Linked DNA regions of Yarrowia lipolytica. The protein of the gene in region 2 interacts with the protein of the main gene of each other region in a pairwise test. Links are inferred from orthologs where the notes say so. Each region holds a gene or a part of one and is shown on either strand. Other genes may lie near its edges.

The links.
Region 1: the proteins of YALI1_B17908g (region 2) and YALI1_D04969g interact in binary tests that used the Saccharomyces cerevisiae proteins (3 or more experiments, as listed by UniProt). The link is inferred for Yarrowia lipolytica from reciprocal best matches to the Saccharomyces cerevisiae genes UTP21 and UTP25.

What each region holds. Positions count from the first base shown.
Region 1 is NC_090773.1:494,399-498,630, forward strand, and holds YALI1_D04969g (uncharacterized protein), read right to left. Parts: upstream 2,541-4,232; coding exon 528-2,540; downstream 1-527. Other genes in the region: YALI1_D04936g (uncharacterized protein), read left to right, coding at 1-22; YALI1_D04978g (uncharacterized protein), read left to right, coding at 3,499-4,232. UniProt on the Saccharomyces cerevisiae protein: DEAD-box RNA helicase-like protein required for pre-18S rRNA processing, specifically at sites A0, A1, and A2.
Region 2 is NC_090771.1:1,787,457-1,792,654, reverse strand, and holds YALI1_B17908g (uncharacterized protein), read left to right. Parts: upstream 1-1,692; coding exon 1,693-1,791; intron 1,792-1,841; coding exon 1,842-4,622; downstream 4,623-5,198. UniProt on the Saccharomyces cerevisiae protein: Involved in nucleolar processing of pre-18S ribosomal RNA and ribosome assembly.

The sequences.
Region 1 (4,232 bases), on a different chromosome or scaffold from region 2:
CGTCAGCAAGTTGATTGAGTAGTCAGCAACTTACAACTAACATCCATCGACAGATGGCAAAATAGAGAAATAAGCAATGGTGGATATATAGAAATGAGACTTTTTAAAAAGCAGTGGTTATCTGTTAGAGAAGAGGCTTTGTTTGTGGTGTGCAAATGGACAGGCAGGACCTTTTTTCTGAGAAGAACGGATACGAGGAGTTGAGAGTACCTTAACTACAAGTAGATCATACGAGAAGAACATGATAGTTGCATTCTTATATCAAACGGATCGTGTCTACAACCCATGAGTGCTATACCGAAAAGTCTCATGTTTAGCCGTGTGTGAAACGAAGGACATATAAATACAGTAGCTCTCTCACAAGTTACAGTGGGTACACGCATGATCTCGACCAGTTGTATCTTTATTAGTGTCTATATATGTGGTCTTAAAAGAGATTGTAGAGAGTGAGCTACCCGGGAAAGAAATGAGTGAGATCAGAATCCGTCATTAGGTGTATAAGCAGCTTCGGTCTGGGAGTTATGTGTTTAATAAAACTCATAACTGCTCTCTCCGCTCTTTGCCATTGTCTTCACTCTCTTCGTTCCCACAATTCTCTCCAAGGCCAACAGGTCGTAAATGGTAAACAGGGCTCTGCACTTTGCCATAGACTGCTCGAGCGTTCCCTCATCGACCGAGTGGGTCAGAAACAGCAGTAGCTCTCTGTAAAAGGCCGGGTTCTCAGGGAGTTTATAGATAACTACCGACTTGACTCCCTTGACAAAGTATCGTCGGTAGTGATGGAGACGTCCCGTGTACAGCAGAATCTTTTCTCGGCCGTCTCGGAAGAGCGTTCGGTGTCGTTTGACCTCGGTGATGGAAGAATATTCACTGATGGCACCAAAAGAAATGTTCTTCTCGTCCATGTAGTTTCTGAGACGCACAAGTTCGACGTAGGTGGGCACGTAGATGAGAGTTCCGGAGTAGTCTCCCGAGCGAATCATACCCTCAAGCGTGATTTGCACAAAGGCCTTGAATCGGGCATCGATTTCATCGGACACAGACAGAGCCTTGAACCGGGTGAAAATCTGGCGGATCTTCATGCCTGCCACTGCTAGCTCTCCGTTGTAGATTGGAGTGATCTTGGTCTTGCCCGCAAAGTTGACTGTGTTGGAAAAGACAGAGTTGATGGTTGGAGTGACAAACTGGCAGGCGACAATGGTCTGTCGGAAGTGCTTGGCTAGTCCGTCAAGATAGAAGCTCTTGACTCGGCTAAAATCACAGCCATGAGATTCGTTGGGTAGCAAGTTAGTCTGGCCCAGCACCGTCAACACATTGTCCCAGCTCTGCATCTCCATGTGGTTGGTTTCATGCAAGTAGGCGATCTCGATGGACGACAGGAAATCAAACTCCCGCTTGGAGTCACCCTCACTGCCCACAAGCGTTTTGAGACCCAGAGGAGACGCAAATACTATGTCAGCCTGGTAAAAGTACGAGTAGTACCGGATGCTCTTGTTTCGTAGCTTGACGCCCAGACAGAACATGTCGTCAGTGTTGCCCTTGAAGGCCTTCTGGAAGTCCTCGGGCTTGGTGTCGAGCACAGCGCCAGCCTCGTGGAACGCCTTGTTAAACCGCGCCTTGTTATCTTCTCTATCGACTCCTGAAGCGCCAACCAGTAGTTGCATGAACTCGAAACAGGCGTTCTTTGTGGGCACTAGCACCAGCACTCGTGGCTTTGTGTATCCCTGATCCCGGAACTCAACGTCGTGGATTCCCTCCTCGGCGTTTCGTTTCAAAATACGTGTGTTGTATGCCACCTCTTCAGCCGTTCGAACAACATGCTGAGCAATATGCATGGCCACTAGCCGCGAAAACTCCTCGGTATCACTGAGACTCGAGGTGGCGTAGCACAGATCCCGGTAGGCCATGAGTGAAGGGTAAATGGCCTTTTGTACCGACGTCAGAGACCCGTTGAGCTGCTTGAAGCCATCCTTGATCCGGGGCCGAACTGTGTACTTGCTAAACTCGGTTTTTTGGGCTTCGGAAAAGTCCAACAGCTCGTCGGCATCCTCCAGATTTGTGTATGTGATTCGAACGGGCTGGCTACCAATCTTGGTCTTCTCCGACGAGGTTTTCCACTCCTCAGACTTGATGACAGAAACGTACTTGGCTTCCTCAGCCTCGAAATGCAGTTTGTATGGATCGTATTTGTCGGTCTCGGAATCATCTTCAGCGTCCTCCTCGGCGTCATCAGCATCCTCTTCTTCCTCTTGCTCCTCGTCGACCTCCTCTTCTTCCTCTCCAGCACCTTCAATATCGTCCTCCTCCAGCTCCTGCTCCACCGGCTCCTCTTCCTCAACCCGTTTTTCAGCCTTTTTGACATTGTCGCCCATCAGCACCATCAGGGCGTTGTACGACCCCGATGTGTCGACCTGCTGGCGCTTGGGTTTGGTCACTTTGTGAGATCGAGCCATTCTTGCGTGTATGAGTAAGATATTCTGATCCTCAGATATTTTTCCCACTGCATATTCCAGAAGCCTAAAATATTTTTTTATCAACATGCGTAAATGAACGCAACCAGGATTCGAACGGAGACTCGGCGAAAGACACGACGGAGGCTGTCCCTCAGAGGGAGCAGCATCAGCCAGACACTACTTGTACTTGTATGTACGTACGTATACCCGTATCGCACCCCCTTCTGCTGTACCCATAGATCTCATCTGGGTCCAGACTAAGGGTAATAATAACGATGTTACCCCGCTTCTAGCGCACCGTTAAATGAGCCGATCATCTGGCACCACAATAATTTCGGCTCCTCAAACAATCACAAGCCCCCTTGTACTCGTGTGAGTACAGTACCAGCACATTCTGAACCTGCACCCTGTCCCCGCTGTATGGAGATGCACATAAAATTAACTGTGTCTCAGCCCGAGCCCTGACTAAAATAAAGAGACCCGAGCGTCCATATAAGAGGAGAAAGGGCAGTCTCCGAGGTAGTTAGGCTGAAAAGAGATCTTATTGGAAGACAATTCGACTCAATCGTCCCACTTAACGTGTCCTGACAACAACAGCACACCACTACTTCCGTGGTATCTCTACCACCCGAGCTGACTAAAAATAAAGCTTATCTCAATACGGTTGGGTGTGCAAATTTGGAATTTGGATTATTGTGCCAGGGCTTGCCATACGCGTCAGCTCAATCACAGACTACAAGTAGTGTTAGACAGACACCCGAGCGAGAGATTAGCCGAGCGCAAAACAAAAGCCGGTTGAAGCGAAACCAAAGCAATCGGAAACCTGGCAACTCCCTACAATCTGACACAAAACGACCCATCACATTGCCTCGCCCGCGACCTGATACCTCGGCTGTAGTGATAGAAGCGACACAGTGAGACGATAGACACAGACGGTGATAGACGACAGCTCCACGGCTCAACCCGAAACAAGACAATTGGTGAACACAAACACAAACACGCCAATCACACAAACTCCAGAACCCCGTTCTGTTCTCTTTTCCCTATGATCACAATACTAACGCTGTTTCGAGCAGCATACTCGCTGATCCACCTGACGCTGGTGATGATCACAATCCCACTGTCGTTTGACATTGGGGGGCGGTTTTGCGGCCTGGCCTTCTCCTTCACGCTGGTGGTATCGTATTTCATTTTGTCCACCTTCCGCATACTTAGTGGCCGTACCAAGCTGAGACATGTCGCGCAGATTCTCTACTATCTGCATACCATTCTCATTCCGGCGCTGCTCATCTTCTACCTGAGTCTCAATACCGCCAACAACAATGAGCCTGTGGCGCTGCAGCGGCTGGTCATGCCCTGGGATGCGCTCATGCAGAGCTCCGCGCCCTTCTTCAACATTCTCGAGGGCTTCTGCACGTTGCTGTTCATTCAGACCATTGGCCAGGTGTCCAAGTGGCTCGTGCACCGCAAGAGCGATTCGTGGGAAATTGTCCTGCTCATTTCCGCGGGCTGCGTCATTTCCGCCACCGCATACAATCTCTACCGCATCTACATTGCCACGGACTCGGTGGATCTAAGCACCGGCACTCTTGCCGGCATGGTGCTGACGCTGGGCTTCTGCCTCAGCAGCTACGGTGTCATTTCGCGCAAGGGCTCTTCGCTGGAGTCGTCGCTCATCCTCGCATACACCGTCTATTGTCTGTACTTCATATTCCGCAAGTCTAGCACCAGCGAGCCACCCGTGACAATCGAGTACAGCTCCAAGCAGCAGTACCCACC
Region 2 (5,198 bases):
GCCCTCAACAGCAGCCTTTATTGACGACGTGGAGATGGACGAGTCCGAGGGCTCGTACGAGGATGCGGGGGCCGAGGCCGACACGGTCGGAGACGGTTCTGAACATTTTTCCACGGGGGGGGGTGTGGTGGGTGGTGTGAAGATGTGTGAGAGGTAGACCCGATGTCGACGAGATCAGCTTTAGGGTTCAGACTAATGCTGCGCTCGACAATTGGGAATATCGAAGCAATGATTCTGGGGTGGAGTTTGGATGACAAGGAGAGGGGGTAGAAAGATGAAAAAAAAAGAAATCGATTTCAAAGGAAGTTTTACAGCGATTGACCTTTTAAGATCCGACATCGGTCTCTGGTAAAACAACTTTTAATACTCCCGTTTGTGCTGTTCGCTGCTTATGGTTTTGGCTAACACCAGATGCATAGGCAGCGTGGTGCAGCGAGCCATTCTACTGGACTGGAGCTACAAGCAGCTGATTGGGAAATGTTCTCTGGCTGTTTTTGGAGTGGTAAAATTGATTAGACCACTTGTAGTTATTCTTTTGTTTTATGAGTGAGTGACGTATACTCTTGGCAAGCCACCCCCATCTGAGTTCTTCCGGTTATCTACTGTACGATACCGTCTCCACAGCTCGATCGTCTATGCAGCAGCTTCGCCTTGTTTGGTGGGTTGATATAGCATAGCACAGAAGACCTTAAGCCGATATATACTGGGTGATATCGACAGATTGAGATATAGAATGACCAATTCTCAGTCTGTCTCCAATTCAATAAACTCCCACCTACTATAATACCCCACAATAGTGGCTTTACAGTCCCCTCAATCTACTCCATTGTATCTATCCACGTGCTCGCTATTGTGGAGCCAAAGTTTCGTTGCCGCTCACATGCAAAGAAGACAGACGTATCGTGAGCGCAAGGCCAAATGTTACAGTGGTGTAGAAGGAGGGCTCTATATAGACAGTGTCGGCATCTCAAGTTGCTGGGTCGCACACATCCCGTTGTTATTAATCGTTTCCACCAGTCGTTCCAATTTGGATCTTCCGATATAGTTTTGCACGTCTTACTTAGAAGTAATTGTTACGAGCACACTTGTAGTGAGACAGAGCACTGTAAGTACCATACAGTATGATATACAGTATGTACTTATTTGTACTTTGAGTGCTCTATGTGCTACTTGTAGAATATATATATTATATAATATATATATATATATATATTATATATATAAAGCCTTTCGGATGTTTCAGAGTCGAGTGTCCACTACTGATGCTAACAATGCTACAGAGCTGCACAAAGAGGAGCATTATTTTATTTTATTTTATTTTATTGTATTTTATAAACACCACCACAAGTAGTACTTATTTTTATAGTACGTACGTACATTTTTCATAGACAGTCCTTCAAGTACCAACTAAAAATCCAACAAAAATTTCCCTTCACTTGAAACCGAACTCTATCGCCCAACTTGAAAATATAAACAGAACCAGTTATTTCCACTATCACTAAAAAAGAACACGAAGAATACTCTCGGTATACTTCTACTATCATTTCTGCATCTCATCCTAACTTCTTACATATCCTCATATACTGTACAGATTATGACCCATCCAAATAAACTTCTGGCATGCACGACCCAAATATTTTTTTCCAAGCTGCATCACACAAATCATAGCGTTCCGACACCCGCTCTAAAACGATGCCTGCGATTGAAAAAAAGCGAAGAGTGGAGTCTGACGAGGTCACTGTGCGTGACAGACTTGTCGGAACCCCCTCTAAGATCTTCACGCCTTTCAGAGTGAGTACTACACCCCCATCACTACACCCAACATCACCAAACTAACACAGACTATTGGACATGTTGCCAACTCCACACCTATTTCCGTGTCATCTTTCGGCCGAAACTTCCTGGTTGCATGCAGTGTGGGCCGAGCCGTTCAGATCTACGATGTTTCGACGCTCCATCTCATGTTTGTAACCTCTCCTCAGACCCCCGCGCCCATCCAGTCGCTTCATTTCCACCGACCCTACGTTTATGCCACCTGGGACAACTGTATTGGCGTCTACTTCCGTGGTAAGCTACTGTACAAGCTGGAGTGCGACACCAAGGACAAGCTAGTGTGTGTGCGATCTTTCGGAGAGAACCTGGTGGCCATCAACAGCTCACAGATCTTTGTCTTCAAGCGAGGCCAGAAGAAGGAGGAGCAGTCTGACGACGAGGACGAGGAGGAAGATAGAGACGAGCTGGACCCTCCGTTTGAGTATTACACCACCGTGACTCTCGCCAACTCTGTGGGAGCTGCGCACTCCATCATCCATCCCCCCACCTACCTCAACAAGATTGTGGTGGCAACTCGACGGTCTCTATTGCTGGTGAATATTCGAACAGGCAAAGTTGTTTTCTCCACCAACGAGATTGGATCTGACGACGAGATCACCGCCATTGTTGACGCTCCCGTTGTGAACTACATTGGAGTGGGAACTGCATCCGGAAAGGTGCACGTCTACAACCTCAAGCTGGGTGAGCGACTCATGGCCTTTCACACCGGCTCGCGGGTCAACTGCTTGTCGTTCCGGTCGGACTCCTTTGCCCATCTGGGTGTCGGAACCGCCTCCGGAGATGCTTTCTTCTTTGACCTCAATTCCCAGAAACGTCTCCACGTGCTGAGAGAGACTCACGAGGAGAGTGAGGGAGGAATCACATCGCTGGTCTTCCTGCCCGGAATGCCAGCTTTCCTCACATGCGGTGGAGATAACTCTCTGCGAGAATGGGTGTTTGATCCAGTCATGTCGGAGTCCAACAAAACAGTCATTGCACCTCCGCGAGCCCTCAGACACCGAGCTGGTCACAGTGCGCCCCCCACATCGATCAAGTTTGTTGACGAAGAGGCCCATTTTCTGGTCTCAGCCTCCGGAGACGCGTCCATGTGGCGCTTCTCGCTCCGAAAGGATGCTCAGAACCAGGAATTCTCACAGGTGTCCAAGCTCACGGAGGAGCAGAAGAACAACCCTTTCGCCAGCAAAACTCGAGCTGCCGGACCCTCTAAAAAGATGCGTGTCAAACTTCCTCCTGTCACTTCTCTAGCCCAGACTTCGCTTAGACAGCAGGAATGGGACTCGATTCTGACAACTCACAAGGGCGAGAACTGGGCACAGACTTGGGACGGACACCGAGGACGAGTTGGAGCTCACAGATTGCCCACTTCAGATGGTGGCATCGCACAGACTGTGACTGTGACTCAGTGTGGTAACTTTGGTGTGGTTGGATCTGCTACTGGATCCGTTGACATTTTTAACCTGCAGTCAGGCATCCTGCGACGCAAGCTACAGGGTACCCCCAAGAAGAAGGCCATCACAGGCATCGTGGTTGATTCGCTGAACCGAGAAGTCATCACGACTTCTCTGGACCGAAAGGTGCGATTCAACGACTTCCACACTGGTAAGCTGCTCGAGACTGTGACCCTCGCTGCTCCTATCACCAAGCTGGTTCTGCATGACTCGTCAGATCTCATTGCTTGTGCTCTGGACGACTTCTCCGTCGTGGTCATCGACACCATCACCAAGCGAGTGGTTCGAGTTCTGGAGGGCCGACACGCCAACCAAATCACCGACATTTGTTTTTCTCCCGATGCAAAGTGGGTTATTTCAGCATCTCTCGACTCGACCATCTGCACCTGGGATCTGCTGACTGGAGCCTGTATCGATGTTATTCGACTCGACACTGTAGCTACAAACGTCGAGATGAGCAGAAACGGCGACTGGCTAGCCACAGCTCACGTGACCGGAAACGGTGTGTGTTTGTGGTCCAACCGGGGCCAGTTTGTAGACATTTCGTCTGCTCCTGCTCCCGAGATTGAGTCTTCTGAGGTTGCCCAGATTGATGCCGTCGGCTCTCTGGCTCAATCCTCGGTTGTGGATGGTGCCTTTGAGGAGACCGAGACAGAGGATCAGAGTCTGGCTGCTTCGATTGCCCAGATCGAGGAGTCTCTGCTGACCCTGTCTCTTGCTCCCTCCTCCAAGATGAACACTCTTGTGCATTTGGACACCATCAAGATGCGAAACAAGCCCAAGGAGGCCCCCAAGGCTCCTGAGCAGGCTCCTTTCTTCCTACAGCTTACCGGTGCCGACAAGAAGCCCGAGGAGGCTACTTCATGCCCCGATGGACTTGTCCCCTCTAATTTCGATGCTATTGGAGAATCTGCATTTTCTCGTCTTCTCCGAGAGGCTGCTCAGTCCGGCGAGTACCATGAGTTCATTGACCATCTGGCGGGTATGTCTCCTGCCCAGACCGATCTCGAGATCCGATCTCTCAACTCCTGGGCTCCATACACCGAGCTGATTGCGTTTGTGGACGCCATGGCAGCTGTTCTAGAGAAGCGAACCAACTACGAGTTGGGCCAGGCATGGATGAACATGTTCTTGCGCTGCCATGGAGACGTTATCATGTCTGCTCTCAACCCTAAGATTGTTGAGGACGAAGAGGAGGACGAGGTTCAGCAGCAGCCCTGTGAGCCTCTGAAGGGGTCGTTGACCAGATGGAAGGAGCTCAACCAGCACGAGTCCAACAGAATGGAGGATATTGTCAAGTACTGCCAGGGAGTCATCAACTATCTGCGAGTTGGATACTAAGCAGAACCCATAAGGGCTGTTTGGGTGGAAAATGTTAGAATAATGCATGTTTTTGGATACTGGAGTAGAGATATGATGAGAAGGTGTCACAGTACACCATACAGTAGGTATAGCAAAGGTAACAGTAATGATAGACATTGTTACTTCCAAGTTCAAGCGTAGTTATCCTTCATCTACAAGGTAGTATGATACCGCGCTTGTAGTTACTGTAGACCACGTTTACAACAAGCACTCGAATTACGTGACCAAAGCAGCCAATACACAGTTCAGTTGATAATACGTCTTGTAGTATAATGTACCTTTGTAGGCAGAAGTTCATGGTATCCTGACTGAACTTGTACTACTTGTAGAGTGTATACTTGTACAGCACTATAATATTACGTCATGCGCCACACAGCCACTGTGAAATATGCAGCAAAGGAACCACAAGCATTGTATGAGAAGACACCAGTACTTATAGTGATGACAGGTGAAGGGTACGATGCGGCACAGAGAATAGCAGAATGAACCAAATAGCTTATATTAGGGTCATTATTAATCACTGTCTTTTCCCCCTATCGAGAACGTTTCGAGAGC